2 linked regions of the Drosophila melanogaster genome follow. The protein of the gene in region 1 interacts with the protein of each later gene in a pairwise test. Each region holds a gene or a part of one and is shown in the gene's direction. Other genes may lie near its edges.

Region 1 (16,245 bases):
TTACGAATATCTTTCACCTTCATTAATTGTTGCAAAAACTATACAATTATTAAGTTAGAATCTTAAAACTTTCGATTCTTGATTGTTCAATTGAACACTCAATTAGTACGCTTGATGTTCTGTTTGCAGGCGATGCAGCTTGCTCTTAAGCGTTGGCCATAATTATCGCACTTGCTGCCACTTTTAATAACGCCTAACGTCTATGTGATTATGATTGTGATGATGGGTTTCGTTGGGCAGTGGGGTTCAGTGAACGCCTGCTTGGCCTTGACTCAGAAAGCCACAATGCCGCGGCGGAGACCGCAAAAAGTGCATCCATTGACTGCAGAAGCTAAGGGTCTTTGCTCGACTGCAGCTATGGGAGCTATGTTGCAGCTGATGTTGGCCAAATCGAAACGCGTAGGACAGCATTAAAGGCAGTGGAAAAGATTTAATAGATGAAAAACAAGCTAGTGTTCTACATATTCAAGCATTAAAATGCGTCTCCTTTTCCATTGCATACTTACAGTCACTTTAATGGTAATAGCTTTTTTTATTTTTTTTTTCTTATTTCAACTATTAAAACTTTTGTCGATTTGATGCTTATGCACTACACTGTACCCGAATAACATAAAGGGTACTGCGCTACCACTGAATGCACTCAGATACAACTGCCTGGCTGCATACAAACTGCATAGATAGATAATTTATAACTGGTCGTAATGAGATAGAGATTAAAAATCAGCATAGCAGCCAACCCTCCAGTCGGTAATCAAGCAATAATATTTAGTTATTTGGTAATTCAATGCAAAACATGGTAACTGCCAGGTGGGTACGTTGCTCCGTGGCTCGGAACGCTTTTGTCCGCTACTGCTAGTATACAAGTCGTAGCAAGTAGTGCTGATTAATTTCCAATTGTTATTATTGTTATTATGTTCGAACACCCTTCACCGACCGACTGGCAAACGAAATGCAAATCTATAGATGAACTGCCGTTTTGTTCAGCATAATTGCTGGAAACCAACCATGGATCGATCGCCAGACAATGCAATCGAATAACTGCGACACCTGTCGTCGCTACTGGCCATAAATAAAACGAAATAAAGCCAGTGGATCTAATGGATCTAATGGATCCCTTTCACGAATACGGCATACGAAATTCTTGAAACTCTATCCCATCTCGATTGACATACTTAATTATTTAAACCGGTTTGCATTTGCGGAAGAATCTCAAATAAAAGACATGCATCTGCCAAGCGATTGATCATCTTAAATGTATTCATAGCCAACGATATGGGATCGCAGTACCGCCCAATGCCATCAGTTTGGTTTTTTTTTTTTTTTTTTTTTTTTTTTTTTTTTTTTTGTTGCTCGGAAGCCCCTAAGTCGTCTTATATAAGCCATGTTATTCGGTTATCATACATCATTTTCACCCAATTCGTTTTGTAATATAAACAAATTCTCTTTACACACTTTCTCTCGATCACTTGAGAGCGCCGTTGGCCAATTAGTTAATTGTGTTGTCGCTAATTAACCGAATCGATTGAATTTTGCATATAAATTTGAAAGGTAATTATTAAGCGACGATCAAAGAGCAAAACAAACAACGAAGTTACCTTTGCGTCAAGAAAAAGGTAAACATGTTTTCTTATTTGGCTTAGACTCGATGAAAAATAAATATCCGAAACAAGGTTGAATTATGATTTGGGTTAACCGAAATACCATGCATATTTGGTTCAGAAATTAACTTATGCTTAAACTATATAATATTATTTAAGTTTTGCTAAAAGGTTAGAAGGTACAATTTGTTAGGTTATTAACATAAGTGAATGTTGTTTAATTTAAATAGAATTTAAATGTTTTTTTTTAACTTAACTTATAATGCAAGCTATGTTTTTAGAATTATACTTTTTATTCCTTACACCTTAATTATTTTTTTTAATGTAACATATTTTTGTTTAATTGTCAAACCACATTACAAATCCATATACCCATTTCTCTCCAGCAAATGTCATATAAACCTATTGAACTTACCAATCATATCACACAATTTCATTTGCGATACAGTAATTCACCGACACATCAATAATATATAAACATCGGGTTTGGGTTTCTTTTAATAAGAAATCGGTGTTAAAAGTTGGTACAGCGCAACAATTTTCGCTTGAGAGCTAACAGCCCAAACGAAATGCCTCAATGGAAGTGCCAACAATAATGGCCAACTTGAGTCACAATTGGTATCTAATTTTGTCCAACGCCTTTGGGCCAGTTGACAACGCACATTTGATGATTTAATGGGTTAGTTGGGCAAAAAGTAGCGAGAGAAATTAATACAGAGTAGAATATAGGGCAAAAAAAAGAGTGCTTTTTCATTTAATTCGATTTATTTCGAAATAAAAACCAATTACAGCTTTACCTTTAAAGGGGTGCAAATAGAATACATAAATAATAATAACGAACATTTTTGTTCTTATTTTTATTTAAAATATCTGCAGAAAAAAACTCCCGTTCAGTCAAATTAATTTGCGAATATTTACCTCAAATGTTAGTAAAAAAAAAAAATAACTCTATTATATTTGCGAATAGCTTATGCCCTTGTACTTTGCTAGTGACCAATATAATTGGCAGCAACAATAAAGAACAAGTAAATAAATAACAACAATCAGAATGCCAAATGCCCATGACAGCACAATCTGACTGGGAAAACGGTTTGCAAATCGTTGTTGTATCATTTGTTGGGTAAACAAATTATAAGCTATGTGTATGCAATTTATTAATAGTAAAGTTAGTGGGGTCGCATACAGTCAAGCTGCTTTTAATGTGTCAACGATTTGGACCAGAAAATATTTGAAAAAGAAAAAAAACTACATTTTAATACCCGTTACTCGTAGGGTAAAATGGTTTCGATTTCGACCATACAAAGTATATATATTCTTGATCGGGATCAATAGCCGAGTCGATCTGGCCATATCAAGATTCAACATACAGAAGTGACCCATGTTGCCACGCCCACACTTACGCCTACATCTTTGGAACAATTTAAATTTTTTTCTCATTTTATCCCGCAATATCTATCGATATCCCAGCAAATGATGAAATTTCGCATTCACACTAGCTGGGTAAAGGGTATCTGATAGTCGGGAACTCGCCTATAGCAGTCTCTCTTGTTTTAATTCTATTAATATTAGATATATATTTATATACCATGTTCAATAGCCATTATTGTACTATTTTATTTCGATTTAGTTCTAGCTGGCAATTCTTTTATCGGTCGGCAAGACCGCAACAAGTTCGAAATCGATAGAGACTCTATATATATATATAACCTTTATATATAATCCTTTAAAGAAATATTCTCAGTGCTCTTATTTTCCTCACTGCACATATGTACATACATACATATGTATGTACGTTGGCCCATATAGAGGAAATGTTATAATGATGAAATAATAAAGCCGGAGGACAGGCCAAACAAATCCTCGGGGGAGTTCAAGCAGCCCACACATCCTGCCCACAATAAGCGTTGATAGTCGTCATAAAAAAAAGCCAAAGAAATACCCTAAACTCAGCCCAGCCTCCAGCCCCATCTACACCATCTTGGCAGCATCCAAAGTGCAAACAAAAGGGGGCCACTGGAACAACAACAGCAGCCCCTTATCACCACCACCACCACCAAAAAAAAAAATATATATATATATAAATATAAGCAGGAAAAAAAAACGAGCAAGATATAACCCCTTGGGGAAGTCCTGTCCAGAAATGCTCCGTTGTTTCGTGTTAAATTGACCGCTCACATGCAACTTGGGGCCATGGAAGACAATAAATATTTATATGTAAATGCCGGCAATATTGTCTCTATTGTGCACACAGGGCACCAAACAAACAAAAAAAAAAGAAGAAGGTGGGGATCCTGCTAACCTGAGTCCGGAGGGTACAGTTCACACCATGCTAAGTGCGCCGGAGGTCGCACTAAAGTAAGCCATTAAATGTAACAATTGATATAATTGTACGCATTATTTGGGCTGCAGGAAAAGTTATATGGTTTTCCAGCGATTTATTTTATTTGTATTTTTTTTTTGTCACCTTGTTAATGTTTATAAAACGCTAGTCCAACTCAAAAATTGTGTGGAAACACAAACCGCCGCCGCCTAAAAGTATGCAATGCAAAAAGAGTACAAGAGTATAAGTTGAATCAATTATTTAATCTAATAAAAGACAATCTATAAGCTGTTATTGCTGCGTTTTAATATAATTCATTTAAATTACTTTTTATGATTTGATTGGGAGTAAAATTAGTATTCTTTTTTGAGCAACAATTCCATCTGCGAACTTCCGAACTTCCAAACAGCTCTTGTTATACGAGGTTAATTTCTTGCAATTTTTCAGTTAAATTTTAAGACAATAAATGCATTTATTTCAATTTCAATTTCTTGCAAAGTTCCTCATATTTTTTGACCACACATGTGTGCGTTTGTGGTGCTGCCTCCGGGGCAAGAATAAACCCATTTCCGTTGGCAGATTCAGATTCAGCTTCAGTTCAGTTTTCAGCTCCAAGTGACAGAGTCGAGGCTAAGCGACCACTTTAAAGTACCCTGAACTTGATTAATGAATGGCAGCGCTCTAAAGTATGCTACGTCGTGCAGCTAAAACACACATACTCGCACACAAGGCATCCAACACACGCACACACACACACACACACACACTCAAAGTGTCAACGACACGGGGCAAAAAGGAGAAAAAAAATTATGGAAGGCATGGCAAAAGAAAAGCACCGAGGTCTGAGATGGCTTAAAATCTGTTTGGCACGCGGAGCACAAATTGAAATTGGCTCACAACTTGGCAGCTAATTTAATATTTTCACTGAAGATATCTGCGCGGTTGTTGAAAAGTGTGAGTGAGCTCTACACTTATAATTGTCACAGGCACGGCTTACAAGATATTACACGCTCCATTCAAAGTTATAACGAATGAATGCAAGAGACTATGTTATTCATTATTTAATAATTTAAAAAAAAATGTCTCGAAAATATTTACTTTTAATTTTGATTGCATTTATGATCATCTATCTAACTGCTAAACAGTTTGCTTTTCAGCCAACCATAATAAATATATACAAGCTCTTTTGACTTGGCAGTCTCAATTTTCTACTATCTTGCCGTCATTTGGCTTCCTGATATCAACCTTTTTAATGCTTCCTGTGCAAGACTTAAATATATATAAGATAACTGAATGTTCAAAAGCGCTAACTTTCATATAAAATATTTGTCACACGTTGTTGGTTATTTAAATTACATTTAATGCGGTATAAGATTCAGCTGACAATTTGCTGTAATCGAATTTGAAAAACTTTTTAGCAGAGAAATTTCATATTGATATATTTTTGTGGACTGAAATATTTATTGGATGCATATATCAAAGCAAACTAGTAAGTAGTTTCCTCCACAATAATCTGAACTCTTAATTTATTCGCAGGCGCACATTTCAATCCATCAAATCAAGCCATGAATAAACTGATTAAGTAATTTATTCAAACGTCCATTTATTCATTAGCTAGCCTGAGCATTAGGTATATATTTTATGTGCGTGGTATGGTTAAAGTTTATTGGCAAAAAATAAGGATAGTACACATACGCAGTGTGGGCAAATTGGCATTCCAGACATAAATCGAAGGTCGAAATCCACAGTAACGAAACTCATCAGACACGAACGGACTTCGATTTCGCCCAAGCTTATTTTCGATTTGTGCAACAAATGAAGTGAGAAATTATTTTTATTATTATTTATATTTTCACTGCGAATGCTGTGATGATGCCACCCACATACCACATCCGCACCGTGGGCGAATCACGTATTCCAAAAAGCAAACAAACGTTGGAGCCCGCATATATAAACAGGCTGCCAAACGCTTCTACACGGCGGGTAGTTATGAAAAGTAAGCAAAAGCAAATGCCAGGGAAAAATAATACGAGGGGGTAGATATGGGTGTATACCATCACGAAACATTGAAGCAGCAGCAGTAAAGTACACATATTTTTCGGTGGCTGTCCGTCAGTCACATCATTAAAATCGAGCATGGAACTCAGCTGAAGCTGCCGCCTAATTCGAGTCCTTGCCGCAAGATGTGCTGAAATGTGCCGCCAGGAGAGGCCAGGATGGTGATGGAGGCGGTGGTGTAGCTGAGAGCTGAGCACGGGCACTGGATAGGGACACCCATTCTCTCGAGGCGTTCATCAATATGCCAAACATGTTTTGTTATCATCAAATGGAAAATGCTTCATTTTCACGTACGCCAAAACGGAAGACAAGGGCACTGAAAAAAAAAAACCCATTTCTTTAAGCTTACCAAAATTGTAATTGTATACATTTAACAGCGATTGTATTTTCTAATAAAATGTTTAAATGTAATGTAAAATATATATTTTGAAATAAACTATATAAAGAATATATCAACATTTTTTTTTAGAATCTAATCTCTTATCTTGAGAGGAATATATATTTAGCTTAAACATTTTTTCCGCATGTTGCACATACTAAAAAAAAAATCTTTTGATGAACAGTGTTACTAAAATAATTTTTGGACTTTATAATGACAACAATGAAGGCGACTGAAGACTGAGCTCGCATGGGAACTTCAGCTTTAATTTCATGAAATTTATTTAGAGTGCAGAACGACGAGCAACAGGACGAAGTAGACGGCCAACAGGCTACTGACAGATAGACAGAGGCACCACCACCACATCGACAGCGAGACACCAAAGACAGGCCGTCAAAGTTGATGGCCTCCAGGCGGATTTGGAGTGGAAGTTATCGTTGTGAATTCCGCAGGTGAATACCCAAGCTCATAGCTATCCCTATGCCCGCACCCATCTGCATCCCACATCTCCGTTCTCATCCCGCATTAAGATGGCAAAAAAGCTTGCGGCTTGCGGCATCTGCCGAATGGCGGTGCTTAAACCACCCAAAAACTAGCGACGAACGACGGAGCACATAAATTGATTACCAAGACATTCTACGACAAATTCGGCATATAACAACAATCCGCATGACGGAAACACTGGGGGGATTCACCCCAAAATTCACTTGCCAACTTAATCGGTTGTACAAGACAACAGTTTCTGGAAGCAAAAGAGACTCGTTGATGTGGCAATGGCAATGCCGCAAGTCGTCTGTGGAATTTCGTAAGCTGCGACAACCAATAGTCAATATACTCAATACTCAATACCCAATACCCTATAACCAATACCCAGTTGCCAAATCAATCGCGACAACTGTTGAGCCAGTCAGTCAGTTGGAGATTACACCGCCGATGGGGATTCAGCTTGGGCACTTGACTGGGAATGGTGGGTTCAAGAGGCGACCATACAGATTGATGCAACCAAAGCCTAGGGAAAAAGTCTTAAAGGAATTCAGTACGAAAATGTGTTTTCTTCAAAATCTCAAAGGGTTACAAATGGGCTAAAATGGAACCATTCGAATTCTAGTACGATTTCTTCATTAGTAATTGCATAATTATTTATATTAATGCATGTAAAGTTTTAGAAAATCACAAAATGCTTTGATTTTAGCGTCAACAATCTTTTCATTTTCGTAGACAGCTTTGTAGCTCAGTCGTCATTGTATTCTATACTTATTTGGATAGCAGTCGCAATAAGTTATTTCAGAAGGATAGTTTTGCCGAGAAATTGTTCAAAAATTGCACACGAAAAAGAGTATAATTGTTTTTTTTTTTTTTTGTTTAATTTTGCTACGCTTTTTAAAAACCAAAAATAGGTCCCAAAAATTAGTTTCATCATAATGACGTCTTCTCGGCAAAATCTTCATAAAATCTGTCGCTATCGATTGCGTGGAAATTGTCGTTTCGATGATTTATGCCGATACTCACACGATGTGTTACAAAATGACAACCTGAGGCCGCAGATATCAAACAATGCGGATGAAGTCGTGGGGCATGCAAACAGGTACAGTCGGCCGATGACCGGGGCAAATGCAACAGAGGAGATGAAGCTATCCTTTGCAATAGCCAAATCCCAGGACAAGATGTGCGGCATTTGTTTGGAAACCGTCGTGAAGAAGAGGGGGCGTGAATGTCGCTTTGGCATCCTGCCTAAGTGCAAGCACATATTCTGTTTGACGTGCATTCGCAGATGGCGTCAGGCCGAGTATATCGAGGACAATGTGAAGCGTGGTTGCCCCGAATGTCGCGTCTTCTCGGAATTCGTGTGCCCTAGTGCCTACTGGGTGGATACAAAGGAGGAGAAGGACAAGTTGCTAAGCGAATATCGCGCGGCAATGGGCGCCAAGGATTGCAAGTACTTCAATGGGGGCTTGGGCAAATGTCCCTTTGGAACAAATTGCTTCTACAATCACCGTTCTCTGGCGGGTGATAACCGCATTCAACGGCATTCAATGGAGGATGACGACTTTTAAATATATTGATTTTAATGATGACATGACATGGCATGTGACCGGTCGATCCCATTTCTCAGTGACTCGAGCGATACGTTCATTTCAAAGCAAATCAAAGAGAACAAAGCAACTTTTGTTAGACGGCTGAGGAGACACGGTTTATAGACTTAGTCTTGGTCCTTGCCAGAGACTATAATGTACAACACTGAGCTTAATATAGCTTCGTTCATCCACATATCGACCAATTTAGTGCATTACTATCCCCATATAGCCGAATTCAAGCATTTAGCAATATAACCCTTACAAAATAAAACAAATACTCAAGCACCAAATTTTTGTTTAGATGTCTCCGACATCGTCACGGTGAAGTGGCCAATAGCACTGGAAAATAGGTGGGAGTTAAAATTATTAGCACATCACATCAGTTTCACAATAATATCATTAAGTTTCTTAAACACAAATCCATATAATTGTGAATATCACTCAACACTTGTACAAAATGAATATGAAAGACCACTAAGTCTTCTGTGGATTTTAGTTTCTTTTTGATATTTCTTAAAATTTTTTAAAATCACAGAAAAAAATCTCAAATGGTCTAAAATATAATCATTCGAAATCTAGTGCAATTTCTTAATTACAAATTGCATAATTATTTATTTTAATGCATTAAAAGAATGCTTTCATTTTAGCGTCAACTATCTTTTTATTCTCTTTGACATATTTCTAGCTTAGTCGCCTTAGAATTTAATACCTATTTTTAAATCAGTCGCTAAAAGTTATTTCAGAAGGATAGTATTGCCGAGAAATTGTTCAAAAATTTTACACGAAAAAAAGTATATTTTTTTTTAAATTTTACAACGCTATTTAAAAACCAAAAAATAAAGTTCTCAAAAATACTTTCATCATAATGTCGTATCGCCGTAGTCAAACAATCTGTCGCTTCCATTTGCTTGGAATTTGTCGTTTTGGTGATTTATGCCGATTCTCGCACGACGAGACGACACCAAATGACAACCAGAGTCCGCAGATATCGGAAATCGCGGATGAAGTCGTGGAGAATGAGCAAGTGGTGGCCTCCACCAGTAGCTACAGTCGCCAGATGACCTGGGCAAATGCACCAGAGTTTGTTCCCAGGTACAAAGCCAATTCTGCCGATTTCCAAGCAACTGAAGGTGTCCAGGATATTTGTCCATATGGTGGCAGCTGTATCTGGGGCAGTAAGTGCTCGTATCCACTTCACATGGAGATTTGCAAGATGTGCGACCTTTACTGCCTCCACCCGATGGATCAGAACCAACGCCGTGCGCACAATCGTGAGTGTCTGGAGCAGCACGAGCAGGCGATGGAGCTATCTTTTGCAATAGCCAGATCCAAGGACAAGATGTGCGGCATTTGTTTCGATACCGTCGTGGAGAAGAAGGGACGTGAACGTCGCTTTGGCATCTTGTCCAAGTGCAAGCACATATTCTGTTTGACGTGCATTCGCACATGGCGTCAGGCCCATCAATTTGAGGCCACTGTGACGCGTGGTTGCCCCGAATGTCGCGTCTTTTCGGAATTCGTGTGCCCTAGTGCCTACTGGGTGGATACAAAGGAGGAGAAGGACAAGTTGCTAAGCGAATATCGCGCGGCAATGGGCGCCAAGGATTGCAAGTACTTCAATGGGGGCTTGGGCAAATGTCCCTTTGGAAACAAGTGCTTCTACAGGCACCATCGTCGTTGTGACGATAACCAGACACAATCAAATGCCGTCAATTCAGACTGATGGCTATGACAATATGACTATTGATTTTAATGAAATACCATTCATGGCATTTGACCGATCGACTGAATTTCAATTTGATCGATCAATTTCTCAGTGACTCGAGCGATACGTCCATTTCAAAGAAAATCAAAGAGAACAAAGCAACTTTTGTTAGACGGCTGAGGAGACACGGTTTATAGACTTAGTCTTGGTCCTTGCCAGAGACTATAATGTACAACACTGAGCTTAATATAGCTTCGTTCATCCACATATCGACCAATTTAGTACATTATATCCCAATATAGCCGATTTCAAACATTTAGCAATAGAACCCTTACAAAATTTTTGTTTACGTAATTGTCTTTTCTGGACCTTTTTTTTTTTTTTTTTTTTTTTTTTTTTTTAATTTTTATTATTTATTGAATCTTCCCTTTGTGTTAAGAGACTAACAATAAGTGTTCAAATCTTAATCTAACTTAATTAACTTTCACTTAGTGATAGTTTTTTTTTTCATTAATGCCCTAATAAGTTTATTGCTGGGCTGGGAGGTCGTTGCGGTGCAGCCGGCTTTGACTGCATACTCGGATTAGTTTTCTTGCGAGGGGATTTGTATGGGTGGTCAGCTTTTCGTTATACTTCGTTTTTTTCTCAGCTATTACTTCGATTACTAATTTGATTTTTAGGTCTCTGTGTATGTTTTCGTTCCGAAGGTACCACGGCGCTCCAGTGATAATTCTCAGAATTCTTGACTGTGCTCGCTGAATAATGTCTATGTTACTTCTGGATGCGTTGCCCCACAGCTCGGAGCCATAAGTCCAGATAGGTTTTAAGACGGAGTTGTATAGAAGAGCTTTGAACTCCAGACTAAGTGGAGAGCGAGCATTTATGAGCCAGTGGAGGTTCCTTGCTTTAAGTTTAAGATGTTTCGATTTGGCTTCTATATGTTTGCGCCAAGTGAGCCGCCTGTCCAGATGAACTCCCAGATATGTTACCTCGTCGGCTTGTGGAATGCATTTGTTATTCAAGACCAGTGGTGGGCATGTTTGTTTGTTTAAGGTAAAGGTAACCTGCTTGCATTTTTGAACATTTATTGAAATTCTCCAGTCGGCAAGCCATCGTTCTACAGATGTTAAGTGTCGGGATAGGAGTGCCGTGGCTTTTATTGGGCATTTCGAGCGACTGAGTATCGCGGTATCATCAGCGAACGTGGAGGTTGTTAGATTGTAGTCTATGGGGAAATCCGCCGTATACAGGGTGTATAAGATTGGACCCAGTACACTGCCTTGCGGCACTCCAGCTTCGATTGCGCAATCGCGTGAAGTGCTTGTATCGCATCTTATTGCAAACACTCTGTTATATAGGTATGACTTCAGTAGCTTATGTGTGTTTTGGGGCAACAGCTTGATTATTTTAAACAAAAGTCCATCGAGCCACACTCTGTCAAATGCCTGCGCGACGTCTAGAAAAATGGCTGTGCAGTATTCTCGATGTTCAAAAGCAGTACGAATTTCTGACGTGATTCGGTTGACCTGTTCGATGGTTCCATGTTTTTCTCTAAAGCCAAATTGATGTGTTGGAAGTGTGTTGTTTATTCTAAGATGAGGGCTAATCCGAAGGAGTAGCATTTTTTCAAACAGCTTTGAAAGACATGTTAGTAAGCTTATCGGTCTATATGATGATGGCTGCGTTTTATCTTTTCCTGGCTTTGGAATCATTACTATGGTCGACTTTTTCCATTTTTGAGGGAAGTATCCAAGCTTGGCGATTGCGTTGAACAACAGGCAGATGTGAAGAATAGCACACTTTGGGAGTTCAATGAGCATTCTTGGAGTTATTAGGTCGTAGCCAGGCGATTTTCTTGGGTTCAGTTGCTCTTTGATAACCTTTGCTAGTTCACATGGTCGGAATTCAAGGGGTTCTTGAGGATCTAGATTGGCTGCTATTAAAGGAGGGAGAATAAATGTGTTGGTAGAGGGATTTGGTCGGAATACATTTTGTAAATGGTCAGCGAAAGCACTGGCTCTTTCTTCATCACTTCGAAACCAGGTGCCAGAGGGACTTCGTAGTGGCATAATTGGCGCTATTGGAGTCTTTAGGTTTCTGTGAGCTCTCCAAAGAGGGTACTTAGTGCTGGTGGGAGAGAGTTGCTCGATATATGAACGTTGGCTGTTTTTTTCCTCTTGTTTGAGAGCATTGGTAAGCCTGCGTGTGGCTATCTTAAGCATGTGCTTAGTAATTGGTGATCTATTAGACTGCCAATCCCTTCGTAGGCGTCGTTTATCTAATACCAGCCGCTCGATTTCGCGATTAGTTTTGATGTAGTTTGGTTTTGCATACGTCACTGGCGGGGTTGAAGCCTTTGCAGCCGAAACTAAAATGTTTTCAAGAGTTTCCGTTGACTTGTCTATATCCTCCTTTGTAGATAATGCCGTCGTTAGTTCTATGTGTGAACAGACATACTTTTGATACCTTGGCCAGTTTGTTCTAAAATTTGTGAGTCTATACGGTGGGTCGACGATGTGGGGGCGAGTTAGCATATTTAGAAAAACAGGTGAGTGATCTGATGATAAATCTGCTAGTGCTTCGGCGGTGACCATGTTGCGGGGGACATGTTTAGTAATTGCAAAATCGATCAGGTCTGGGATTTTTCTTGGGTCTGCTGGCCAGTATGTAGGCTTACCCGGGGATACATAGTCTAGCTTGTTTTCTGGCTTCGTAAGCGCATTGTACAATTGCTTACCCTTTGGCGACACAAGTCGAGATCCCCAATGGGTGTGCTTGGCGTTATAGTCACCCGCTGCGATGAACCTGTCACCTAGTGTGTTAAAGAATTCCATGAATTGATCCTCAGAGATTGGAAAGCGCGGTGGGCAGTAGACTGCGGCTAGAGTCGTTGAACCATTGTTGAGTTGTAAGGCTATGGACGTAGATTGTAAGTAGTTTTTGTCAAAATTGTTTAAGTGGTGGTGTTTTATGCGATTTCTGATGAGTATTCCAGTGCCTCCATGAGCTTTACCATCTGGATGATTTGTACCATAGAACAAGTATCCTGGTATATGAAAATTGTTTTTATTTGTGAGGTGCGTTTCTGATAGTAGCATTACGTCGATGTTTTTTTCGTAAATGAACTGTGTGAGCTCTTGTGTATGCCGTGAAACGCCATTTGCGTTCCACAGAGATATCCGTAGGGAAGCCATTATGGGGATTTTGAAGATACAAGAAGTTGAATCAGGATATTTTGGTTTTTCATGAGCTCTTGCAAAGTATTTTGCATGAACGTCATGAAGTCTTTCATGCTTTGCTGTAGGGATAGCATCATAGCTTCGATGCCACTTTGTTGTGTTTGTTGGATGTTTGTCGGTGTATGTTCGGAATGAGCAGTTCTTGTCGGTGGGGCGGGCACTTCTAGTCCGGATTTTAGGGCGCTAGCGAAAGAAATTGTTGGAGTAGTGCTTGGGACAGTTAGGGGTGGTTGAAAAATCGGTTGCGGAGAGTAGAAATTGACTTTGTTGTATGTATGTGCTGTGGCAATACGTTTGTTTAGGCGGCTCTTCAATTCTTTGTACACCACACAGCCTCTGTAGTTTGCAGTATGTTTTTCCCCGCAGTTACTGCATTTCTTCACAGACTTATCGTCCTTGTTTTTGGGGCAGTTTGCGGTAGTATGAGGTTCGCTACAGACAACACATACGGACTTAAGGGTGCAGTATGCCTTGGTGTGGCCGTATTCTTGGCAATTAGTACATTGAACTGGATTGATACGTTTGTGCGGCTCCTCCACGGTGATCCTCCGATGTAGCAAGTACTGTAAATTGTATATTGGGTGCACTTCGTTTTTCTTTAGTGCCTGGAGCTCTGGTTCGAGTTCTATTTTGAATAGTGGCTGCGGAACTTTGTCTTTGTTTAAAATATTAATAGCTGTCTTTGCAGAAAAGTTTTTGGCCTTCAGAGCCTCAATTATCTCAGCTGGTGTCACTGTTGCTTCAATGCCCTTAAGTACTACCTGTAGCCCTTTGCAACTTTTTAATTGGTATGTGTAGTAGTTTTTACCAGCATCATTTAGGTATTTAGTCACTATACGGTGGTCTGCTTCTGTTTGGATCTGTAGTTTTATTTCATGAATATTTCCTTTTTTAAGTGGGATAATGTGGAACTTGCTGTCACCAATCAAAGCAACGAGTTTATTTACAAGTGCATTTGTACTTTGTTCTCGTATGAAAATTGGTGGAGGCCTGGTCTTTTTTGGTTCCCCTACCGTTTTTTCGTTGGGTTGTTCGGTCGCAGAATCAGCCAAGATAGCATATCGGTTTGAATTATTTACTGCAGAGTTTTCATTGCCGTTGTTGGTTCGATTGATTTTGGGTTGATTACCTGCCTTATTGTTTTGAGGGCTGAGCTTTCTCTTGATTTGGATGTAGCGATCCATGCCAGTCTGCACAGTCGAAATCGACTTCTGCTTTTGTTTTGATTCTTCTTTACGTGCATTATTGTTGTTGCAAACGGTCAGTGCTGCTGAATTATTTACAGCTGGCACAGCGATAATTAGTTGGGCCGCTGACGAAGTTGATGTTGTGGCAGTTGCCAGTGAGGTCACTGCACTCGTTATTGCAGTGTTACAGTTACCCGGGACGGTCGTTTGGCGCTGCGAGAGGAGCGGGGTAGGAGAGGCGGTCTCTTCGCTCCACGACTTGTGAGCCGAAGCAGGCAGAGAGGGAGAGCAAGAACGCGGTCTGTCGTTCGCTGAGGGCAAAAGTTTCGAGTTAGTTGAAGGTGAGGGTGCTCGATCACCGATTTGCGGTGAGACGAAAGAAAAGTATGCATTGTTGCGTTGTAAAGAGAGCCGGCGCTCGTCTTGTTCACATTGTCGCTGAGAACGTATGTCGTTTTGATTCATTGTTCTAAGTCCACATATAACAATTACCAGAACAATATGGAATAATTATTTATTTTAGTAAATAATTACTATAGTCAATAATTGTTAGTTGTGCAAACTGCACTTTACACTTTGTGTTTAACTTTCACTATACTGTTGTAGTTTTTAGAACTTGCTATTCGTAGCTTGAAAGAAACACGTCTCCACCCGAAGACTGTGGAATGCCGAATTTTTTTTCTGGACTTAATGTTTTAAAATTTTTCGTACTTGCATCTAATAAAACAACTAAGATAGCCAAATTGATATTACGATATTGTGAACATACCACCCACCTGAATTATAATTGAAAACATTTTTCTCGAATATAATCTTTTGAAATAGCTTTTAATTGTGCACTTTGAATTTGCTAGATTTACCAGCTGTTCACGTCGTACCACTCGGATGTTGAGCAGAGGTTACCAAACTCGCCATTGGTGCCCGATCCGCAGCCCTGTGCTCCCCAGTCACAGCTGGAGTAGATCTGGCGTCCGATCATATTGGTGGTAGCATAGTTGCAGGCCACCAGCACTTGGTTCCATCCATCGCGATTGTACCGAGCAGCAGCACATCCCAAGCGGGTGTTCCTCTCCGACATCATCACGGTGAAGTGGCCAATGGCACTTGGGGATTAGGTGGGAGTTAAAATTATTAATACTTAATTAAATCGATCAGACAGCATGTCACATTTGTTTCACAATTCGATCATTAAGTTTCTTAATAATAATCACTAAACACTTATACAAAATGAATATGAAAGACCACTAGTTCTTACGTTCTTTTTGATATTTCACAGAAAAAAAAATAATGGTAATAAAGGTATTTCCTATAGCGTTAGGCCAAATCTAACCAAAGACAAACTTACGGTCCGTTATATCCGGATGGGTATCCGCCGGCAATAATACCGGCGTTGGAGTTGTGCACCTCATCGAACCACATCTGCACGCTGTTGTCCAGGATGTAGCCCATGTCGGGCAGGTCGCCGGAGTAGGCCTGCCATGCCAGATTCTGGCCGGAGTACTTGAAGGCGTCGGTGTTGTGGCAGCTATCGTGCACCATGTTGCACTGGCGCACATTCAGGGAGGCCAGATAGGCCAGCTCATCGTCCCACTCCATGGTGGCCATACGGCAGGCGGCATTGTGATTGGAATCGTAGCCACCGGCAATGTAGTTCCTCTTGTCGTTGTGCGAGTGGACAAAGACC
Region 2 (16,353 bases), 1.1 Mb from region 1:
CTTTTTCTCTTTGCATTTGCAGTTTGGCGCTTTAACCCCCTTAGAACCCCGGCTAGGAAAGAAATTAATAGAACCACTCACAAATCTAATTCATAGGCAAGTCTTAAAATCATTGCAAAACAAACAAACAAAACAAAACAAAACAAAAATACAAATACAAATCAACTGAACTGAACTGAAAATGTAAAATACGATACGATTTCCCAAGAATGTGTGGAAAACGATTGCAACAAAGCAAGGCGAAAGCAAAAGAAAAAATTCGAAATCAAATCGAAAGTGACCGATTAAAGGTCGATATCAATTGATCGATAATTGAAGCTGCTCGATGATTGTGCGTCTGAACGTTATATATTCGTTTATTATCATTTAACTGTACAAATCTTCTAGCTTCTTATGTCCGTTACCTCTTTCTCTCTCTCTCTCTCTCTGTCTATCTCTTTCTCTCTCCCACTCGCTCAACTTATGACTGTCGCCATACTGCTTAAGTTTGTATTTGTTTCTATAATTTCATCGTTTGCCTATCGATTTTTTGCTTATCGAGCACACTCATTGAGATCCAAAGTTCTAAACTAGTCAAATCGGATGAAGCGAAAGAAAAACAAATGATCGAGCCGTTGCAGTTGTTGTTGTTGCTGTTGTTAGTTTTTCTTTTTGGTTGCCATTGCTGCGTTGCTTTGCAATGTTGTGTTTCCCCAATGTCTATCGCAATAATCGCTAATTGTTATCGCTACCACAATATATTTATATATATATGCTATCGATATTGCTACCGTTGTTGTTGCCATTGCCAATTGCTATTTGCTATTGTTGTAGTGCAATGTTTGTCGCTTTACCGCTGCTTACTCTTAATACAAGTTCCTACTTTTTTTTTTTCTCAAACTAATACAAACCACAAAAAAAAAACAAAAAAAATTATCAAAACTAACCGAAACACCAACAAAAAATGAAAACAAAACAAAACAAAAAACGAACCAAAAACCAAACCCAACTCACTCAACAGCACCTCGGCGATGAGTCTCCTGTATGAGTGCATCAACACGGTGATCGCGGTGCTCATCAGCATTAGCAGCGGCATGCCCAACCACAGTGCCTCCATTCAGCTCTGCGTGCAGAAGCTGCGCATCCTCATCGAGGACTCGGACCAGAACTGTGAGTATAAATAACCCAGCTAAGAAGCTAACGATTATATTTTCAATTTTCCCATTCAGTGAAATATCTGGGACTGTTGGCCATGTCGAAAATCCTAAAGACGCACCCGAAGAGTGTGCAGGCGCACAAGGATCTCATACTCGCCTGCCTGGACGACAAGGACGAATCGATACGTCTGCGCGCCCTGGACCTGCTCTACGGCATGGTCTCGAAGAAGAACCTTATGGAGATTGTTAAGCGATTGCTGGGCCACATGGAGCGGGCAGAGGGTTCGGCCTATCGGGACGAATTGCTTTACAAGGTGATCGAGATATGCGCGCAGAGTTCGTATCTGTATGTGACCAACTTCGAGTGGTATCTAACTGTGCTCGTCGAGCTCATTCAACTTGAGGCTGGCTCACGGCACGGTCGCCTTATAGCAGAGCAACTACTTGACGTGGCCATTCGAGTGCCTGTTGTTCGGCAATTTGCCGTCAACGAGATGACCAATCTGCTGGACACGTTCACCGTTTCGGCGCAAAGTAATTCCATGTACGAGGTGCTCTACGCCGCCGCCTGGATCGTTGGCGAGTTTGCTGGCGAACTGGAGGATGCGGAGAAGACGCTCAACATCCTGCTCCGTCCGAGGCTATTGCCCGGTCACATCCAGGGTGTCTATGTGCAGAACGTGATTAAGCTGTTCGCTCGCCTGGCCACCACGTGTTTAGAGCTTCAGGATCTGCCTGGCTTGGTGACAGTAAGTGCTCTCTCTATACGTATTTTCAAATGATTGTATTCTGAGTATTACCATTATCATTGGTAGCTCTGCGACCATGTGTTGGACAAGCTTCAGCACTTCAATGGTTCCAGCGACATTGAGGTGCAAGAGCGAGCCAATTCCGCTTGCATGCTGATCGAGATGCTGCGCAACCAGCTGTCCACGTCGACCGATGCCATGGCCATGGACACGACGACGGAGGGCGGCATTCCGCCGCTGGCCATTGAGATTGTCCAGGAGATGACGCTGCTGTTCACAGGCGAGCTAATACCGGTGGCGCCCAAGGCGCAACGGAAGGTGCCCCTGCCAGATGGTCTCGATCTGGACGAGTGGATTAATGCACCGCCACCGGAAGATGCGGCAAGCAGTTCATCCTCGGAGCACGACAAGGACGAGCTATTCGTTAGTGCCACGCAGGCAGGAACGGGAGCTGATGGCGGCGAAAAGCGGCGACAGAGTCTCGAGCTCACGCCTGAGCAACTGGAGCGGCAGCGAATGGCTCGTCTCATTGAGCAGTCGAACAATCCTCACTACCTCAAGTCCACGCCCACGGCGAGTGGTGCCTCGAATGCGGATCAGTATGACAATATTGATGACATACCCATTACGGAGCTGCCACTGGACATGGAGGGCGTGGCCGCACTGCGCGTGGGCAGTAAGTTATGCGCAGTGATTATACACAAACAGCGATGTATCAAGTTATCTGTTTTTGTAGTCACCAAGCGGTCGGATAAGTACCTGCAGGAACAGCAGGCGGCGCAGGGCAGCAAGGATGGCAAGAAGAAGCATAAAAAGGGTAAAAAGAGCAAAAAGGCCAAAAATAAAGTGGCATACAACAGCAGCTCCGAATCGGAAGGTGGTAAGCCGGAGTTAACAATGTTGTGTCGCATTACAATGACTTCTAACTTCAACACTTTGCAGAACCGAAACCCTTGCACATTGTGAACACCACGCTAGACATGCCCGAAGGTGTCTCCATGTCGGACAGCGAGGACAAGGATGGCAAATACGATCCAAATGATCCGCATCGAGCCCTGGACATTGAATTGGACATGTAATCAACGAGCTGAAAGCTGCGCAGAATTAAAAAAAGGCTAATTGTATTTTTATAAATCTCCTTACAGTACGGAGTTCGAGGCGCCCGCGGTGAGGTCAGCGTCCAAAAAGTCAGCGGCGGACAAAGAGAATCTCAAGACGCCGGCGGATTCGGCCGGCGGTGGTAACGCCGCCAAGAAGGATAGGAAAAAGGACAAGGACAAGGACAAGGAGAGGAAGGTGAAGCGGGAGCATCGGGAGAGCAAGCGGGAACGCAAGGAGGCTGCTGTTCAGTCGGTGATCGATCTCATTGACGCCGACACGCCCACTCCCAGTCCCAGCCACATCTCCGCCACCAGCAACAACAACAACACTTCAACTGTCCTTCCAGATGCGCCCAAGCATCACAAAAAGAAGAAGAACAAGGAGAAGACGACGGATGAAGCGCCTGATGCACTGGCCACCGCCACCGGGAGCAGCATCATCGATGTGGGCGGCGAGGAGGCATCCGAGGTGGCGTCCAAGGTGCACAAGAAGAAGCATAAAAAGGAGAAGTCACAGCGCAAGGAGAAGAAGAAGGCTTCAGAATCTGCATCCGTATCCGCCATCGTTTCGATTGGCGACTACGAACAGCCACTGGGAATCTCAACGCCCAGCAAAGAGATTTTGTAATTGCTAAGCTCCAAGTTCCACTAATCTAATTAATCATTATTACGATTGTTTTTTGTGTCGATTGATTATTAAGCCTTTATTCGGAAATTTTGTGAGAGGCGAAGCTAGCTTCAGAATCTCTCCATTTTCGTTAAGTTGAAACAATTGCCTCCTAAGAGAATGAAAAAAACCTAAAAAAATTATCGCTGCGATATAAAAAACAAACAAAACCAACATTGAACAAATTGATATGCTAAAAAATAAATCCACATAAACCGTATATATATATATATATATATATATATGCATACATATATAAATAATTATTAATATATAGAAGTGTAATTTTAAAATGTAAAATGCCGCCAGTCTGCCAATTGCGGCTTAAAACATGAAGAAAGCTGCAAAAAATCGAAAATGAATATGAGAAACAGATCAACTGGCAACCAGAATGCCATGCGATGCAGATCGATTCCTGGATACTATCTATTTTTGATGAATTTGTTGCCTAGAGCATGAGATTCCACTAATAAACAAAAACAAAAAAAAACACACCCACAAACACAGACAATTATATAGCTATAGTTATATAAAATGGAATTTTATAATGAATCCCACACAGAGAATAGAACAAACAGCATGGATTGTAAAAACAAATTATATATGTATACATGTGAAGCCGTATGAATCAAATATAAAGTACTGCTATACAACATAATTACTAAAAAAAACAAAAACAAAAACTGAAGCTAAGTGAAATTATACATACATACATGCATATTATATACAAACACACACACAAGCCCACATACAAATATATAAACGTTAAATAAATGAAAAGTACAATACACTTGCATATTGATTTATTGTTTAATTTGGCTGCGGAAAATAAATAATGTAATTGATCGAAATCGGGATGAAAAAAATAGAATTTCTTTAGGTTTTTAATATTACATTTTGTTTATTAAATTGAAGTTGGAATGAAATTAATAATGGAAATAAACTTAATAAGGTAGCTTCAATAAAAAAATAGATAATCGTCAAATTTCATTCTAAAATAATTTGCGCTTTGACTTAGAATTAATTTTCAACAACACCTTTAGAAATAAATCACTAAATACAATTATCAAATGGACTTCAATTTCAGTTCGTTTATTTTGAAGTTAATTAACGATATTAATTTATTAGTAATTCATTACGCTAAAGGCTTCCAAATATTATGATTTTTTTCAGTAACCAAAAGAAAAGGACACAAATCAAAAATTCAAAATTACACTTACAACTGATTAAACTAGACCTATTTTAAATTAAACCTTTGAAGGCTTTAATTCAATAACTTTTATATAACCACAAAATATCAAAATATAGAACAGGAACAAAAAAAAAAATCCAATGCATGTACAAAGAATCTAATGATTCGTTCAAAGGAGCTGGTACTTTCCCAGATCGGCATCCCTGCCGTTCATCAAATATGCGTTGATGGCAATCTGGCTGAGCACCTGCACACCACATTTGTGAAGATACTCCATGTCCTGGGTCGACAGCGGCGCCTTCTTCACATCGACAAAACAATGGCTGGCACTTTTGGCCACAGGATCTTTGGAGAACGGAGTTGTTGGCTCCAGGATGCAAGCGCCGCCGGCACGCAGCACATTCCTGATGGGCGCCCCGCTCCTCTCGTTCATGCTGAGTATAACCCGGTGATCGGAGAAGGCGCCACCGCCGCACGCACTCAACTCCGTGCGCCAACGGTGGACGGCGGCAGCGATGGGCTCCTCCTCCGGTGCCAGGGTGGGCAAGTTAATGGCCTTCGGGTTGCCCCATTCGTACAGCGTTTCGTCCAGAAAGTCGCCACGCGCATGCGACTGTTCGATATACTGGATATTTAGTATCCATTTCCCGGCCGCAATGCAGGCCAGCATCTTCTCGCCGCGATTCGGACGCTCGCACAGCAGATGGGTGCAGCTATCGTCATAGTTCACCAGATTCTCGCACACTTTTCCGCCCAGTTGGGTGATCCGCGCGATTAGTTCCGCCCGCTTTTCGTCATCATCACCGCACGAGATGCTGAAGCACGGTATGCCAGCATACTGCATCTTGGGCGAACCGCCAGAGGATCTTCTCTTTGCCGCATTGAACTCCGCCGGATCGCGCCAGTCGACCATGTCCTCGGTGCCCAGGGCGAAGCCCTCGGACTCGAAGGGCTGCACATACTGCACCTCGCTCTCGCCGCAATCCATGTCGTTGTCGTGGCTACGCTTCAGACTGTTCCTTCGCGATTCGCAGTTCTTTAGATAGTCGGTGATTTGCTTGACATCTGGCGCCACTGTGGGAACATCTGGGGCCAATACGGGCACGGCCGACTCCTCGAAGCTAATCTTGTCAAAGTTAATAGTGCTCTGACCTTCCTCGCTTAACGTTGGACCATCTGAACGCCGTGGCGGCGCTGCTTCGATTGGACTCTGTGTGTTCGGTACGAAGGGTGATTGCGTTCCGCTGCGGGGTGAACCCATGGACACCCGGAGTGGCGTCTTTTTACCTAGCGATAGCTTCGGTGTTTTCGGTGATCTATCAAAGTTGAGTTTGGTGGCCTGCGTCGTCCTGGTTGGCGGCTTCTTCTTTACCGTTGATGGCGATTCCGATAGCGTTGGCGTCTTAGCATTACTTTCTTCATATTCGATGCCCAGAGTTTCGCATGTGATCCGCATCACGCGCTGCCTGATGACGGCCAACGGTGTGTCTGGTTTGATTTTCATGGTGGGTAGGCGCCAGCGCCGCTCAAAATCATCGGCCATCCGCTGCTGGAACTCGGGAGTGAGACAAAAATCTGGAATTCCCGGTGCTGGTCGTTGATGCTTACGACTGACGGGCGTGCAGGCCTGCCGTCGAATGCGTTCCAATTCCGGCGTTTGATTCTCGCGCATTTCACGGATAATCTCGCGCACACAATCCTTGCCCTCTTCTGTATCCAGGCGTTGAACGAATTGCTCTAGGAAGTCCAGATTGTACTGCTGGGCACCCACCTGGCTAAGTGGCGTGCATGGTGAGTCCGGAGAAGATGTGGAGTTGCTGCCACGATGAAGAGCACTGCCTCCTGGTATTCCAGCTAGCTCGGAAACTCTCTTGTTGCGCAGGGGCGTCAGTTCAGGAGCTCCTGGACTGCCAGCAGTAACTGGTGTGACAGATCCCGCCGGTTGGTTCTCGGCCTCCTCCATGGTTACATCCGGTTGAGCCACCAATGTGGATTCATTCGGTCTTCTTGCTGTCCGGCTATTGCTGTCCCGCAAGCGTGGCGATATGGGGAAATCCTCGGGACTCTTGCCCACCAAATATCCAACGAAGGGCAGCTTCTGACCAGTGCGGGCGCACTGCACCAGCCAATCGGATGTGACTACGGGATAGTTCCATTTGATGGCACCTTCATACTTGGAGCCCTCGGCACTGGGACACACCAGCAGCGGTTTCTCCTTCTTGATGAATGTCTTATTGACGGAGGCGCCAAGTAGTTCTGCTGTCGCATTAATAAAGTCCCGCTCCAATCCTGCATAAATGGATACGACAATAGTCATTCCCTTAAGCGGCTGACGCAGTGCGGTAGCCGGCACATGTTTGTGGTAATATTCGATGGGCAGCAGTTGATTCTTTTTCATACAGCTTTCCAGGAACAGTTCGGTGACCACATGGCGGGCCTTGACGGGTAATTGCTTCACATCGAAGGCTACCTCAAAGCTGACAATGGCGAAATCCACTTCATCGGAGAAACTCGATGGCACCAATAAGCCTTGGGCAGCTTCGCATTCGGTTAGCATTTGGTTGAAGAACTCCTCGTTGAAACACTCCCTGTGCACATAAACAGAGACACCGGCGAAGTAGTCCAGCTTATCGAAATCAATGGATAGAGTGCTGGCACTGAGATCCGGCAATTGCAAACCCTCAGCGGGTGGTTTTGGATTGGCTACCGAGACTCGCTGGCGTATATCCATTTGGGTGGAACTTGCCGCTGGTTGAAGGAGACTAACATCTGCCGGTGGCAGTTGTGCCACTGCTCCTTGATCCTGTGAGTACTGATCCAGCAGCGTATGATCCGGCTCCTCGTGCTCCTGTTCCTGCACGGGATCCGGTTCCTGATCGAAAAGCTTCTTCTTGATGGGCAATGTTGGCTGCTTGAAGCTGTGGTTCATGGAGCGCAGTGTTCGCTTGCTGGCAGGAGAGGCAACGTCTGGTTCTCGATTCTGTGGCATCGACACACGATGCACCAACTCACTGACCACGCGACCAGCTCGAATGCTCTCCAGCAGCCAATCTAGGCGCACCACATGAACTGAACCCATGAGACCATCGCGCTGCCACTGTCGGTATTCGGCGTCATCCAGTTGGCCCACAATGATGTGTGAGATGCCCTCATTGGCCTCATCGTAGCGGGTCGCTCCGCCCGTATTCAGCACTCTGTTTAGCTTCTCACGCTCCTCTGAGCGGAAGCCACTCAAATACACACAGCAGCCATCCAGAAAGGCGCCCGCTTTTTTCGCCTGACGCGGTTCAATCTCGGCCAGCACCTGCTGGTAGTTGCGGCCACTGCTAGTCGCCTGCTTGAGCAGCTGCTTGGCGGGCGAACTGCTGCCCACACTGCTGACGGATTCGTTGACGGTACTAAGATCGCTGCACATGCGACGCGAGCCGGAGACGAAGCTGATACGTGAGAGATCCGAGAGGTGCGTTTGATCTGCACCGGGAGCTGCGCCCGGACGAGTGGTCTTGGTGGGTGTGGACGACGTCTTGCCAGGCCGCACCTCATAGTCCTTTGTGGGCAGAGCGTAGCCGCGATTGCAGCTATCGAAGATCCATTCCGGCAGCAAGACATCCTTCTTGTAGCGTATGGCTGCCTTATACTTCTCGGTGTCCGTTTTTGTTTGCTCGGTGATGACGATGTCCACCACCTGGGAGCGAAAGGCACGATGATAGATGCCTCCATTATCGTTGACCAGCCGCATAACTTGATCCTTGCGCGCCACATCCAATCCACTGCACGTGATATTCGCACCAAAGAAAATGGGCAGGCGATACTTATCGAAATCAGGATCCGTGGCCATGATGCCCTCGCGCTGGCTGCGACGACTCTGATCCCAGACGTACTGCACCCAGTCGACGTGCATTACGGGTACTCCGTTCAGCGTTGCCTGCTCGTACTTGCTGGACTTGATGGTGTTCGAAATGAGGTGGGTGGTGCGATGCCCGAAGCTTTGAAAGTATATGCCGCCCATCCAGTTTATGAGCCTGCTCAATTCCTCTTTCTTCTGTGGTGTTATGCCCGTGGCCGAGACCTGCAGATCCCGCATGGCCGTGCTGTAGATGGCACTGCTGCCCTCGGGAATGGGTTCATTGCGCCGCAGGCAGGTGATGAGGCACGGTGGCCCCAGAATTAGTGCTCGCGTCTGCTGCAATTGCTCGAAGAATTCGCCCTCGAACTGGGTCAGCACAAAGACGTCCTTCTTGGTAAGGTTACCGGCTGCGATCAGGGGATATCCTTCGCTTGGCTTTATTTGCCGGATCTGCGTTTCCGCCAACTGTTGGCCCAGTAGCTCCCGCGCCGCCTCGAATTGCTGCAGTGTGTCGGCCTCCTGGACGCCACCGTCGCCCGGCTTCAGATTGTTCACGAAGTACGCGCAGATGGTCTCGTCCATGCTCATGCTTATGCTCATGATGGCGGTTGCGAGTGTGTTCTCTGCTCCGTGATGCGCTGCAAAATTGCCGTGATTTTCGCACTGCACTTTTTTTCGCGTACGCTATTTTGGCGCCGTTTGTTATTGCCTTCAAACCGTTGGCAACGCTGGCTTGTGATTAGTTGGCAACTACGAGTTGAGCTATGTGGCAACGCCGACGGCGAATTAAAAAATAATGTGTATGGGTAATTTTAATTATTTATCTCTAAGATGTAAGGATTTTTTATTTACTTTTTATCAAATAAATAAAATATTTCGAAAATAAGCAGTTATTTATCAGTTTTGGTTTAAGCTATCGATATATTTCATTAAGCGAAATATCGATATCCACGTCGTCGACGGCAGCTCAGCCCTAAAAGAAAGGAAGAAAGAAGAAAGGAAAGGCAAATCAGAAATAATCAAGACATTGACCAACTTGTACTATTGCTAGTTTTGTGGACACAGGATCCAACACTTGAAGGCGACCACAGCTTTCGCACACTCACACACACACAGCGGCCATTTTCCGCCGAACAAGTGAAATGCCAACATGCCATTGTATGTGTGGTGGTGACCAACTGAAATAGAATAATAAACTAAACCAAAGCGAAGAGAAAACGTAGGCCAAGAGCTATATTGGATCTGTGTCACAGTTTTCCATAGCACCAACCTATCAAATGGGCAACTTTGTGAGCAGACAGAACGCGGCGGTGGAGGAGGCCGATCCGAGCACGAACAATGCCTACAAGTATCCACCGAGAATGGGTAACTTCTTTGGCACCCACTTCATCATGGGCGGCGAGCGCTTCGACACGCCCCAACCGGAATCGTACTTGTTTGGCGAGAATGCGGATCTCAATTTCCTGGGCAATCGACCCACAGCCTTTCCGTATCCCCCGCCGCAGGCCAATGAACCGACGAAGACCCTGAAGAGTCTGGTCAACATTCGCAAGGAGTCGGTGCGTTTCGTCAAGACGATGAACGACAAGAAGCTGGGCGGTGTACTCGAGAAGCCCAAGATGAAGGAGATTGATCGGGACTTGGATCTGGACAAGGAGAAGTCCAACGTGACCATCGAGGATGTGGATGGAAATGTGCTCTGCTCGATGGGTTTGGGTGGCGGTGATGCCGATATGACGCCCCCACCGCCGCCCTGCTCTTACAACATCGAGTTTACCTTTGACTCGGACGCCAAGTGCGCCATTACCATTTACTATTTCTGCTCGGAGGATGTCAGTCCCAGCGGCGTGACACTGGTGCCGCGCGAGGGTCTCACCTCGGAGACGTACCACTACGAGAAGGGCATCAATCAGTGCTTCTCGCAGCCGAGCCATGTCTTCAATCCGCAGCAGATGCCCGAGGATGAACTGGGCTATAGTCCCGGCCGTGAACAGTATCCCGTGGCCATTCACTGTGTGGTGGAGGAGGGCAGCGACGAGTGTCGGCAATCGCACACCACCATCTGTGTGATCGATCATCATCCGGAAAACGGCAGCTATGTGCTGCGTGCATTGAAGCAAAAGATCTTTGTGGATGGCTTGTGCTACCTGCTACAGGAGATCTATGGCATCGAGAACAAGGCCGTGAACAAAACGTCTCTGGACGAGGAGATCGACGATCATGGCAGCGAGTGTGTTATTTGCATGAGTGAGACGAGGGATACGCTCATCCTGCCCTGCCGCCATCTCTGTTTGTGCAATTCATGCGCGGATTCGCTGCGCTATCAGGCCAACAATTGTCCCATTTGTCGCGCTCCGTTTCGGGCGTTGCTTCAGATCCGTGCTGTCCAGAAGGGAATTAGCACGCATGTACTGCACCAGAACACGCCCACATCGGCGGCCGGGGAGCCGGCGCCAGTGGATGTTCCGCCAGGCTATATTCCAGTCTCACTAATTGAGGCACTCAACGGACCGCCACAGTATGTGGCCAGGGCTAGGTGAGTTATGGAATGGAATTAACCGATAAATCTTACGTAGCTGATGCCTTTTTTTCCAAAATTCAGGAACAGCGAACACGATGTCACGGACTCAGCTGCCACCGTGGCCGCTTCGACAATGACCAGTGCTGACATCAAGGCCACATCGCCGATCAAGTCCAGCAGCCAGCGTCGACCGAAGATCAAGAAAAACGCTTCGACGTGCACGTCGACCAGTGAGGTGGGCACCATTACCAATCAATCGGGCGGCGGCAATGGGTCATCCACACACTCTGTGGAGATTGAAAGCGATCCGAAGAAGTCCAGCACGGCCACCTGTACTTCGCCAACATTGGGGGCATCCACTTCGCCGGAACCGAAACAGGACAAGCTGCAGATTGTTAACGAACGAAAGTATCCCAGATCCACAGCCGGTTCCGGTGGCGATGGCTCCGCGGGTACCGATGACGATGTGGACAGTGAGAACGAGAAGCTATCGCCTCTGCTATCACCCGGCAGCAAGAGCAAGAACGTTTCTAGCAAATCGCTGAAGCAGGTGGTGGCCTGCCTGGAAGCGGATGATGATGTCGATAATAAGAGCAGCACTGGTGATGGGCCGACCGAGGAGTCCAGCCTAAAGAAGGGTTCGTCGATAAAGCGCACCAAACCGAGACCAGAACTTAGCGGAAGCGGTGCACCCTCACCCGCCGAGGCCACGGCCGAGGATTCGGATTACTACACGCCGGAGGATACTCAGAATTCGATATTAAGCCCACTGTGCCCCACGGAGCGAGCCAAAAGCGGTGATCCCCTTGGCGCCGGCAGTCTGGGCAATGGCGGTCTCAGCGTGGGCAGGAGCGCAGGATCAGTGGGCGGACAAGCTGGAGTGGGACCCGTCGTTGTGGGTTTCAGTAGTGCAGTTAAGAAGAACCTGCACAAAAAGTCCACATCGGTGGGCAACATGGTGGGCTCCGGATCGGTGACAACGGTTGTGGACTTGAAGTCCAACAACGTAAGCTCCCTGCCAGGTTGGTGTTTCTGATTCGGTTTCCAATTGTCACATGATTAAAACATATATCTTACTGCCATCCAGACATGTTGGACAGCCCAATCAGCGGCAACTCGGCCTCGACGCGCAGCTCCAGTGATAGCTACTCCTCCAGTTCGTCCACCAAGCAGCTGCTCAGCTCCAATCCGACCACTACGGCGGCCAATATTATCGTAGATGACAAGACAGCTCTGCAGAATGCCGTCAATGTTTAGAGCCGGTCTCGGTTGAATTTCGCGGAAATTCGTTTTCTCGTTTTAGCTTTGCGTTTATACTATTTATTCGGAGTTCACCTAGATTTAGTTAAATCAATGCTGCTTCCCCGCTCGCAGGAACAAATATTTTGAGGATTATATTAATATTAATATTAATGGTAATGCTAATGATGATGATGATGATGATGATGATAATGATAATACGGATAAGGATGGAACGGAGGAGGAGCAAGGAATAAGGCTACCAGGACGCAACACTTAACCAGTATACACAGTATATACATACATACAAACACTAACACCACAGACACGAAAAGACACACGTCCCACATGCATGTGTGTGTATGTAGTTTAATCTAGTATAATGGCTTGGGTATATAACAAATAAAATAAATCCAATAAACAACGGCGCCTAGGGCGCTACATTCCACAGTATAATTCGAACTAAATTAGTTACACTATCAATGGGCGGCAGTGTGGTATATACATATATTACTCCTTGAATATCAAGAGTAACTTGTGAATATTAATTAGCAAGAATGAAGTAATTTAGCAACAAATATATTAATCTAAAGCCATTAAATACATGTGGCAGTACGCAGTAACAAAATAATAGTAAATTGTGGTCTTAAAACCATAAATCCAACACATTTTTGTATTAAATAGTTAATTCAAACATACATATTTTCAAATTCGAATTTTAATATTACGTTATGCGTTAAAGTGAAATTATAAACTTTTACTTATACGTAAAAGAAAAATGTCATTTCCAATTTTCATATTAAATATCAACTTTAAATGCATTATTTAAATAAAAAACTTTTGCAAATCGCTATCGATAACAGCGCCCACACTATCGAAAGGCGTCGATAGGCCGCTAGGAGCTGCCATCACTAGAGATCACCCTTGGAATTGTCCAATTGGATTTGTTTACCTTTCGCCCGTTTAAGAATTTCTTTTCGGTGGTTTTTCGCGTGGTAAAGTGGCTGTTTTGATTGAATTGATTGTGCGAAGGATTGAGACGGAGCGACCGTAGTTTTGCCGGAGGTACGTAAGCAGGACCTTCTCGTCCTGCTCCCACTTGGTGCCCAATCCCCGCCCCCCGCCATAGTTTTCGACCTCCACCGCGATTGCCGGACATGTGCGTAGTGTAATTGATTTTTCGGTCAGCGGTCAAGCATTATTTATTTACCAAATTTGCCAACCCAGCCCACCCCCATCCCCCTTCCATATCTCACCCTTGAGTGGCACACATTTTCTCATTTTGTTTGTTTTATTGCAAATCTCAATAGAAAACGTTTCGGCGACCAAAAAAAAAAAAAAAAAAAAACACACACACTAGGACTTTCAACATTACATATTTTAGGGATTAACTGTAGGTACAGAGATCGGGTTTACATATGCATAAAATACGCCTATAGGTGTTATCAATTATTTAGTTAATTTTGCTAATCATTTTCTTATCGCTTTTTTACGTAACAAAAACGGACGGGTCTAAAACGGATTAAATTTGACTAAAATTTTGAATGAAAAAACTCGGTGATGCACCTGGCGGAGATTCTGGGTCAATTATTTCGGTGCTCCGGTTGACAAAGTGCGGGATTTGCGCTTCTTCAGTTTGGTCTTCACCTTCCGCACCAGACTTACGGCGTCCATGGAGATTTCTGTTGCGGATTTGTTGGCCTGGACACTGGCATTGCTGCGCTGGTATTGCATTTGACCGGTGGATGAACCCAAGGCGCCATTGCTGCCCTTGGCCTGCAATCCGGCTGCATTTCTCATCCGCCTGGAGCCTCCACCGGTCATATTGGTCGGTTGCTGCACGGCGGTGATCACAAGTCCGCCGGTCTTGAATTTGTTGGGCGCACGTCCTCCGCCGTTGCCCTGCATGTTACCCATCACGCCGGCAGAGTGCATTCGAGAGCCCATTGCCCCCACTCCGCCTTGGCCCTTGAACAACAACCGCTTATGCTGGTGGTGCATATGTTGTGGTGGCTGCTGCTGCTGCTGCTGCTGTGCTGCGGATCCTCCGGCGCTGTTGCGATTCCGGGCGAATCGAGTCACCAGCTGCGTGGTCTCTGCTATCTTCATCATGCTGCTGGACTTGCGTTTCACCTTACCGCCGGATTCGGCTGCCACCAAAGCCTGAATGACTTTGGCCTGGCTGGTCGTTCCCGTTGACTTTCTGACCACGTGCATGGGCTTGAAGGGCTGCTGCTCCCGGTCCCTTGAATGTTGCGGATGATCCTCAACCTTCAGTAGGCGCTGCGCCTGTTGCGGATGGGAGCGCCGTTGCTCCTCTTGTTGCTGCCACATCATCAGCTTCTGAGAACAAGCACTGGAATATAAAAGGACGTTAGATTTAATAGAGGAATAACCAGGGAATAATCGCCCGACTTACTTGAACAGATCAACTTGCTCCAGTTTTCTGACTCTTCGTGGTGCTCCCACAAAGGCGGGTGGCACACCCATGGCGATGCCACCAGACGCAGCTGTCTGCTCCCTGCCATTGGAGGGGAACATGTTTCGGTTCTGACCACCGCCACCTCCACCCGCTCCAGCTCCAGCTCCAGCTCCTCCTCCTCCTGCAGCACCACCGCCTGCACTTCGTATGGTCGTCGTAGTGTTGGCCATTTGGGATGCTGTTATCGAGTGACCCTTGTACCAGGCCAGAGGGCGACCATCCGCATCCCCGTTCGCACCAGTCCAGACTTTCTTCTTCAGCGAAAGCTTAAGCTGCAGGTCATCGGCCGTTTGCACATTTCCATGTCTCTGGGGAATGAAGTTGCTCGGGACACTCCTTGAAAGAGGTAAACCAATCGAATTAGATTTCGCAAAATCATTCGTAAAAATACCCACCTTCTGGGGAGCGGTTTTGCCATCGTCTTTATTCCTGGCTTGGTATCGCCTATGTAAAAGTTGGCCTTGCCCTGACCACCGCCGTTGCCATTGGGAATCTCCTGCTGATCGAGATTGTGCCACGAATAGGTGCGTCTGGCGGATGTGCCAGTTCCGCCGGCCTGCCGTTGCATCATGCCAATACCCGTGTCCAATTCTGGAGCAGTTCGAGGCGTCAGCTTGTAGACATCCAGTTTTTTCCCACCGCCCGGAGTGCCGCTCTTCGAAGGTGTGGTCACAATCAGTTCCGGCGGCATGTGCGACGCCTTTGGTTTCTGCACCACCGTATCGCCAATTTCCTCGATGTACCGCCTCTGCAGATCGCTCTGGAGCAGCGTATGCCGGAGCGGAGGCACTGCACCGTAACCATTATGTCCGGACGTCGGCGAGTGCTCCTCGTCGTCGGTGGAGAAGTGCAGATCCGAGCCGGGATCCGTTGTGGGCAGGTCCAGGGTGGTGCGCACCACCTCGCCACGTTTCTTTGAAGGCTTATTCCTTACCTTAGTGCGACGCGCCTGCGTGGACTAAGCCGATTAGATGCGGGAGATTTGAGGCGAGATCGGGGAATTATTAAATTAGTTGTGCTTGTGTGCTTATAAGTATGTATCAAACATATGTTAGGTATATATATTAAACTTTTTACCGTTTTACCTTTACGATAGATACCTTCTTACGACGATAGATGTAGATGCGCCTATTGGCCAGCCACAGGCGGAAATTGCGATCAACGTGAAGTTTCTGATTGACCACCGGCTTCTTCTTCTCCGTGGGCATGAACTTCTTCTTTTTGGCCGTCTTCTTTGTGCCAGCACCACTAGTCTTCACCTTCTTTGTGACCTCTTTACTCGCTGCGGTGCTACCACTTGAACCATCCGGTTCCAGTAGCGATTCCGATTGCGATGAATCCATGCTTTCCGAACTGTCGGAACTCTGGCCTCCAGTCGGTTGATCACTATTGGATGGCAAACTTCTGGCCAATTGTCTCG

What was found.
Region 2: the proteins of CG5334 (region 1) and Mrgn1 interact in a two-hybrid assay, tested with the Drosophila melanogaster proteins (one large-scale study listed by BioGRID).

The regions. Positions count from the first base shown.
Region 1 is NC_004354.4:14,767,583-14,783,827, forward strand, and holds CG5334 (uncharacterized protein), read left to right. Parts: upstream 1-7,725; 5' UTR 7,726-7,776; coding exon 7,777-8,409; 3' UTR 8,410-8,717; downstream 8,718-16,245. Other genes in the region: CG5347 (uncharacterized protein), read left to right, coding at 9,296-10,153; Ag5r2 (antigen 5-related 2), read right to left, coding at 15,418-15,664, 15,907-16,245.
Region 2 is NC_004354.4:13,715,292-13,731,644, reverse strand, and holds Mrgn1 (mahogunin ring finger 1), read left to right. Parts: upstream 1-9,667; 5' UTR 9,668-9,968; coding exon 9,969-11,227; intron 11,228-11,293; coding exon 11,294-12,234; intron 12,235-12,299; coding exon 12,300-12,469; 3' UTR 12,470-12,911; downstream 12,912-16,353. Other genes in the region: g (garnet), read left to right, coding at 23-96, 1,001-1,149, 1,209-1,885, 1,952-2,561, 2,622-2,765, 2,828-2,960, 3,031-3,613; mus101 (mutagen-sensitive 101), read right to left, coding at 5,014-9,291; Nna1 carboxypeptidase, read right to left, coding at 14,039-14,807, 14,871-15,269, 15,329-15,891, 16,034-16,353.